Oryctolagus cuniculus: one gene and its partner. The protein of the gene in region 1 interacts with the protein of each later gene in a pairwise test. Links are inferred from orthologs where the notes say so. Each region holds a gene or a part of one and is shown in the gene's direction. Other genes may lie near its edges.

Evidence for each region.
Region 2: the proteins of GPANK1 (region 1) and CCDC184 interact in binary tests that used the Homo sapiens proteins (3 or more experiments, as listed by UniProt). The two-hybrid records come from large-scale screens. The link is inferred for Oryctolagus cuniculus from reciprocal best matches to the Homo sapiens genes GPANK1 and CCDC184.

What each region holds. Positions count from the first base shown.
Region 1 is NC_091436.1:138,949,216-138,953,674, forward strand, and holds the start of GPANK1 (G patch domain and ankyrin repeat-containing protein 1), read left to right. Parts: upstream 1-1,501; 5' UTR 1,502-1,619; exon of another isoform or gene 1,620-1,845; intron 1,846-2,112; 5' UTR 2,113-2,372; intron 2,373-2,500; exon of another isoform or gene 2,501-2,617; intron 2,618-2,878; 5' UTR 2,879-2,982; coding exon 2,983-3,614; intron 3,615-4,459. Other genes in the region: CSNK2B (casein kinase II subunit beta), read right to left, coding at 587-658.
Region 2 is NC_091440.1:137,729,952-137,733,101, forward strand, and holds CCDC184 (coiled-coil domain-containing protein 184), read left to right. Parts: upstream 1-1,496; 5' UTR 1,497-1,758; coding exon 1,759-2,304; 3' UTR 2,305-2,456; downstream 2,457-3,150.

The sequences.
Region 1 (4,459 bases):
TGAAAAAGCAAAGGAGAAAGGACACTTGGCACGGTGGTTCCTACATGGTTAGAGATAACCCACATCCCAAACTGGAATGCTCAGGTTCAAGTCCCAACTCCACTTCCAATTCCAGCTTCTTGCTAACACACACCCTGGAAGGTAGCAGGGTGATGGCACAAGTACTTGAGTCCCTGCCACCCACATGGGAAACCCAGGTAAGTTTTGGGATCTTTACTTCAGCCTGGCTGGTAGCAGTAGCTGTTGTAGAAATTTGGGACATAAACCAGTAGACAGAAGATCCTTCACTTTCTCTGTTGCTCTACCTTCAGATACTTTAAGTACAATAAAAAAATTAAAAAAGAAAAAGAAAAAAAAAAGATGGTCTGACTAGTTCAATGTTATCCTCCTGGGGGTGCGGTGGGGTGTGTGACAGAAATGGGACTTGGGCCCCAGTCTTGCCACATCGCCGCTGATTAGTGGGGGGTTACTGAGGGGACCCCTTCTTTCACGGGAAGGAGTTTCCACGGGATAAAGTGTGCAAAAGCTGAAGATACCCAACCTGAACGCATGGAACCAGCGAGTAGGAAGAACGAAAAGCACTCACTTCACAGAAGAATTCATTGCCACGGAGCCCACAAAACCAGGAAATCCAGGACACTTCCTCCGAGCTGCTCATCTTCACGTCAGCTGGAAACAGGAGTCAAGTCCAAGCTCTCCCTCCCCGGCTCTGGCACCTTCCCTCCTCCCACACTCTGTCTTTCAGCCATGGAAGAATTTGGGGCCACCCTTTTTTTTTTTTTTTTTTTTAAAGGATCCCAGCCTTTGGGACAGGCTTCTCTAGCTCTTGTTATTTACACCTCGGCCCCTTTTCTCTGAATGAACTTAGAAATTCCTTGGCAGGAGCCCACAAGTACCGACCCAGCAGTCCCTACCTACATCCCCCGCGCCCCCGATGGCCAGACCCCTCTCGCCTGTGTCAACTCTGGCAGAGTCCTCGGCTCGGGCTCCCTACCACCGCAGGGCTCCGGCACCCTTCCCCAAGAATTAGAAGTTTATCTTTGCCAAGCAACGACCGACACCTCCTTTTCTCACGACCCGGGGCGAGGGGCGGGCACCGCCAGGTACTCTTTCACGGAGTCCCCACAGCCTGCCTCCCGCTCTCCGGCCACCCTTCCCTCCCACGGTTACGGACCGGGTCACTTCCTTCCTCGCCCCCACCTCAAGGCGGGGAGACCCCATGTGCCGCTCCTAGGGACCGGGAACTCCGCGGGGCAACCACTTCACACTCACCAGCTGGACGGGGAGCGGGACCGGGGTGGGGGAGGGGAACAGCTGCTTCCAAAGAACGACGGCGACCGCTACAGCGAAGGCCGCGGACCCGACCGCGGCAGGCGAAGTCGGGTGGGGGGAGTGGAAATCGGGGAGGGTGGGGAAGAGGGCAACGCGCAAGCGCCGAGGGGCGAGAGCCGCGGTGGACGCTGGGAGATGGAGTCCGCTAGGGCGAGAGACCGGCGAAGCGAGGGAAAAGCGAACTACGAATCCCAGGACAGCTCACTCACGACCCTCGTGTCGCGAGGCCCCCGAGGACGCGGCTCGGGGGCGGGGCACAGCGAGGCGCCACCGGAAGCGGAAGCCAAGTAAGGCGTTCGGGGCCAGGAGCCTGGGAAATAGAGTCGTATGCTCACTGGACTGAGGGGCCAAGAGGGGGCGGGGGAAGAAGCGAGGCGAGTCGGGTCGCAGACGTTGCCCTCGGGGACCCTCAGTGAGCCCTGGCCAACCCTCCTAGTTCTTATCAAGTCGGGCACGGCCTTGCACAGGAGAGCCCCACGTTTTACCCTGAGCTCGGGCCTTCTGAGGTGGGAGGTACGAACGGGCTCCGTGCTGAGGGACCTGGGTCGGGTGTGTCTGTCCTGAGTTGAGCGTTATTGACAACCAGGACGGCCCGGTGCGCTAACCTGAGGCGGCGCCGGCCATCCTGCTGCTCGTCCCCTTGCACTTCTCCATTTCCTCCCAGGGCTTGAATGGGGTCTTCAGCTGAGGGCTCTACGCGTGCCCTTCGAACCTGCTCCGAGTAATGGTGAGGGGGTAGTGTGGCGTTATTTCATTTCACAACTTCTCGGCCTTCCACAGGTTTCCCTCCGTCTCAGGCACTTTCTTAAGCCAGAAGCTGGCTTCCCAGGTTCAGAAAATGAGCTTGGAGTGGGGGCCACGTTGAGGGAGGCGAAGGGCATTGTGGGGGCGTTATGTAAAAGCAGGACCCCCCCACCCAACCGACGGATCGTCCCGGGTCCTCGCGCCAAAGGGGCACGTGAGGCCCTGGGCATAAGCTGTTGAGAAGGTTCCAGGGCGGGAATCCGGACCCGGCACTTTGCGCACGCCTGTGCGCCCAGGTGAGGCGGGGTGCTGTTTGGTTGTTGCTATGCATGCGTGCTTGTGCTGTGTGGCTATTTGATTGTGCCAACGCTTTTGATTAGAATAGCGCCATTTTGCAGTATGGAAGCAACCCAGACTGCACCGTCCCGAAGTCTTGAAGTCTTCCCGAGAAGCGTCATGACTTCTCGGCTTCCTTTGGGATGAGGAAACCCCAAAGTAGGATCCAGGAAGATTTAAAGGGCCAGGCTGATTTTTCGTGATGGTGTGTCTTACGGGATAGGAAAGTGGTATTGGAGAGGGGCTAATATTTGTTGTTGGGGGAAGGTGGAACTAAGACCTCAGGATGACTGCCTGGGAGTTTTCGTTATTAACCTTTAACAGTAGGCAAAGTGTGTTATCGTAGTGTTCTGTGTTTTCATCTGAGACCTAGTGCCCTTAGGGTGTCACGTCCTAGATTGTAGGGTCAGTTTTGGAGGGGCGAAGATGGTTTTGATTTTAAGGCTGTTTTTCCTGTTGCCCACAGGTCCCTGGAGGTGGCTGTGGCCACTGCAAGGGCCACTAGGAAGTTGATTTGTCTGTCTCATCCTCCCCTGGCCCAGCCTCATTCTCTCAGTTCTTGGAAAGGCTATGTTCAAGCCCTCCCTCATCTCATTCACCCCAGCTACTGACCCCAGTGACCTCTGGAAGGATGGGCAGCAGCAGCAGCAGTCACAGCCTGAAGAGCCAGAGGCCGCCCTGGATGGGGCTACTGCCAGAGCTTTCTACGAGGCCCTCGTCAGGGATGACAGCAGTGCCCTTGAGCCCAAGGCACCTCAACCTGAGCCTGCACAGGAAAGAAAGAGGAAGAGGAGAAGAACTATGAGGGAGACAGCAGCAGAAACAGGGTCTGCAGGAGCACCGGAAAGACATGGACAGTGGAGATCCCCTGAGGCCGAGGACAAGATGACCCAGCGGATCCTGAGGGCAGCCCAGGAGGGAAACCTGGCAGAACTGCGAAAGCTGTTGGAACCCCATGAGGCAGGGGGAGCTGGAGGGAATATCAACGCCCGGGATGCCTTCTGGTGGACTCCCCTGATGTGTGCTGCCCGGGCGGGCCAGGAGGCTGCTGTGCGCTATCTCCTGGGCCGTGGGGCTGCCTGGGTGGGCGTCTGTGAGCTGAGTGGCAGGGATGCTGCTCAGCTGGCCGAAGAAGCCGGCTTCTCCGAGGTGGCTCGCGTGGTCAGAGAGAGCCATGGAGAGACAAGGAGCCCAGAGAACCGGTGAGAGGCCCATACCCACTTTCTGTTTGCTCTGCCCCTTCTAGCTGCTCCACAGCAGAGGCCCCAGAAAAGAATTGAAGGGGTCTCTGCATCCTCCAATGTAGGTTGATATGGTAGTGTAGTAGAGTGCTTATAAGCATGAGTTCCTGGATTTCTTTTATTTTTTCATTTTTATTTTATTTTATTTATTTATTTTTTTGACAGGCAGAGTTAGACAGTGAGAGAGACAGAGACAGAGACAGAGAGAAAGGTCTTCCTTCCATTGGTTCACCCCCCAAATGGCCGCTACGGCCGGCGTGCTGCACCAATCCGAAGCCAGGAGCCGGGTGCTTCCTCCTGGTCTCCCATGTGAGTGCAGAGCCCAAGCACTTGGGCCATCCTCCACTGCCTTCCCGGGCCACAGCAGAGAGCTGGACTGGAAGAGGAGCAACCGGAACAAAATCTGGTGCCCCAACCGGGACTAGAACCTGGGGTTCCAGCGCTGTAGGCGGAGGATTAGCCTAGTGAGCCGCGGCGCCGGCCTATATTTAATTTAAAGATTTATTTATTTATTTGAAAGTCAGAGTTACACAGTGAGAGAGAGGTCTACCAGCTGCCGCAGCAGCTGGAGCTAGGCCGATCCAAAGCCAAGAACCAGGAGCATCTTCTGGGTCTCCCACGAAGGTGCAGAGGCCCAAGGACTTGGGCCGTCTTCTACTGCTTTCCCAGGCCATAGCAGAGAGCTGGATCAGAAATGGAGCATCTGGAACTCGAACCGGTGCCCATATGGGAAGCCAGCACTGCAGGCAGTGGCTTTACCTTCTGTGCCACAGCACCAGCCCTGAGTTTCCTGGATTTAAATCCTG
Region 2 (3,150 bases), on another chromosome or scaffold:
CCCATCAGCCCCCACCTTCTGCTTGGGGGTGGTTCCATGCACTATACTCCAGGGCACTGGGGTGCACAGGGCCCAGCTGGGGAACCCAGGCAGCTCAGAGGCTACCCGTGGATCTCCGGAGTCCAGCTCCTTCTCCCATTTTCTCCTTGTCTCAGTTTCACACAGAATTCCTGAAAAGATCTGGTTCTGAATCCAATGCACCAGCTGGCCCACTCCCTGCGCTCCCACCTACCCTTAGCTCACAAGCGGCTGACCTGGAGCTTGCTGAGGTCAGCCACCCCGCCTTGACCTGCGCACCTGTTCCCAGGGGGCTTTTGTGCATCCCCAATAATTTCGCCTCTGGGACCTCACGGTCACTGCCTCGGGCAGCGTGGTGTAATCTGATCCAAAGCCTTTACAAACTTGGTGTGCTCACTAACAGCAGCAGAGGGCTGGCATAACCCAGCTGCCACCCACGGGGTAACGTGAGGGATTGTCAAGATGGGAGCAAGGCAGGGCGAGCGAACCAGCGAGATGAAACCGTGCGACGCGCTGGCCGAGAGCTGAGAAGGCAGGGGCTCAGCCCCGCGAGCTTCAGGGTCCCTTCCGGCTACTCAGCACTCTCCTGGGGAGGATGAGTGCGAGGTGAACCCACAGCCTCTGAGAACATGATAAGCGACTGGTGCAGCGCCAGCGCAGCTGTTTTTAATGGGTCCTGCCCGCTCCTGGCTATCAGAAAGCCGTTCTGTGCACACCAGGCAGACTCGGCTCTGCTTAGCGCAGCGTTTCTGCGCTGTCCGACGCTTTAGGAATCACTTACAAAGTTCTTACCCACGCGGAGGGCACAGGAGGTGAGAACTGCAAGCAGTAAGGAAGGAATGGACAGCGGATAGGACTGAACGGGCAGTCCGGGAAGACGCGCTGGTAGGAGGTTTTTCACGTTCAGTGTATTCGAATGGCTGCACAAGACTATGAGCGACGCCTTCGACTGATGGACATCTGCGATATTCCCAACCGCTCGGGCACCAATCGCTGGAGCACCGGCCTGGGCGGCCTCGGGCTGCGCGGCTGGAGCAGCAGGACTCCGCGCCCGGCTCCCGTCCAGGAATTCGGCCGCTCGCCCGAACTCCAGTGCTGGCTGCGGACCCCTCGCGGCCTCCTCCCCGCCCTCGCCCTCAGCCAGGCAAGGTTCCGGAGCGGCCGCCGCAGAACACGAGCGGCGCGGGCCTCGGCACACGCGGCGTGAAAAAAGACCGAGTAGAGGCCTCTTGAAACGGGCTCCCCGGGAACGCCGCAGTCGCCGGCCGCACTCCGCGCCCGCTCACGGCCGTGCCGAGCGCCACACGAGAGCGGGCGACACGCAACACGCCGCCCTCGCGAGGCCCGCCGCGCGGCACCCGCTCCCGCACACCCGGCGGCCCCGCCTCGCCCACTGCGGCGCCCCGCCCCTCTCCCCGGCCGCCGCACGTCCTGGTTGCCACGGAGACACGTCACGTACGTGCCGTGCGTCGCCTTGGAAACGGCAGCTCGGCGCGCGGCCGGAGCCGCGCCCCCGCCGCCCGGGCCGCACTCGCGGGCGCCGCCCGTGCCTGGAAAGGGGTCGGGAGCCCCGCGCGGCGGCCTCGGCCTGGACGGGACCTGCGGGCGCGCGCTGCGCGGGGCGCGCTGACTCGGGCGCGGTCCGGAGGCGAGGCGTGCAGGGCGCGCGCGGGAGGCGCCGGCCCCGGTACCCCCGTAGCCGCCGCCCGGCGAGTCCGAGCTGGACGCGCCCCCGACCCCATGGAGGACGGCCCGCTGGAGCTCATGACCAAGGACGGCGGCGACGTGCCGGCGCCCCTGGAGGTGTCCAGCGTGCCGGCCGTGGGCGACGTGCTCTCGGGCGAGTACAACGGCGGCATGAAGGAGCTGATGGAGCACCTGAAGGCGCAGCTGCAGGCCCTGTTCGAGGACGTGCGGGCCATGCGGGGCGCCCTGGACGAGCAGGCCTCGCACATCCAGGTGCTGTCGGACGACGTGTGCGCCAACCAGCGGGCCATCGTGTCCATGTGCCGGATCATGACCACGGCGCCCCGCCAGGGCGGCCAGGGGCGCTGCGCGGGCACCCCCCGGGAGCCCGAGTGCCCTGCGCCGGGGGCGGTCGCCAGCGAGGACCCGGAGGACGGGAACGCCGAGGAGGAGAAGGAGCGGCCGTGCCCCGCCGCTCCCGCCGGCCGCCGCGAGCGCCCCGAAAGCCCCCGCGCAGGCAGCACGGCCGCGCCGCCGCTGGAGCCCCGAGACCCGCCCGACGCCGCCCTGCTGCGGCTGAGGGGCGAGGCCGCGCTGTGAGGCCCCGCGGGCGCCCCCCGGCCGCTGCGGGTCGGACGCCGCCCTCCGACGGCTGCTCGCGGTCCTGGCCGAGGGGCGCCCTCGAGGCGGGGTCTGTTGGGCGCAGGCCCGTGGGAGCTGGGGCCGCTCCCGCCGCCGGCCGCGGAGCCCTTGCGGGCTGCGCAAAGGTGAGCTTGCGGGAGAGGACGCGCCGGCCCCTGCCCTGCCCGTCCCTCCCCAGGTGGCGAGCGGACCGCTGGCCTGTGTAAATAGCACCCTGCCTTTTCTATTCACGACAAGGACTTCTCTAGGACGGTGGCAAACAATCTCAAACGATTTGCCTAGAAATTAAGGAATCGGGGGTGGGGGGGATTCTCTTCTGCCCCTCTGTTGAGTCCAAGACACTCGGTGCTCCGCAGAAACCGCCGCCCCCACCCCGCCGCAAGTCTGCGCTGCCGTTGGTAAAGGGAGCCCAGGACCCGGGTGAATGGGGTTCCCGGGGCGGGCGGGGAGGCGCTGGCTGCGAATGTGCATGAAGACACGGGAATAGCGCAAGCTCTGGATTGTGCATGCAGCGCGGATCCCGCCCGGTCGCTGACTTCGCCTGGGACTGCTTCTCCTCTCGCTGGGGTTAGAGAACAAAGAGCCCAGCTCGCAGCAGCCCAGATGCAGGGGACGTCTGAGGGACTCTTGGGGTCTGCAGTCAGAAACTGTCTCTCCTAGCCACACCTGCTTAGCTGCAGTTCCTCCGTCACGTGTGTCCCTGCCCGCTGCCTCCCGGTGTCGATGTCGCCTCCATCGTGTCTGTCCACCGTGTAGTAGTGTGTGAGCCCTGAGGGGCAGGGCTTGTGGCTCTGGTGTTAGGTC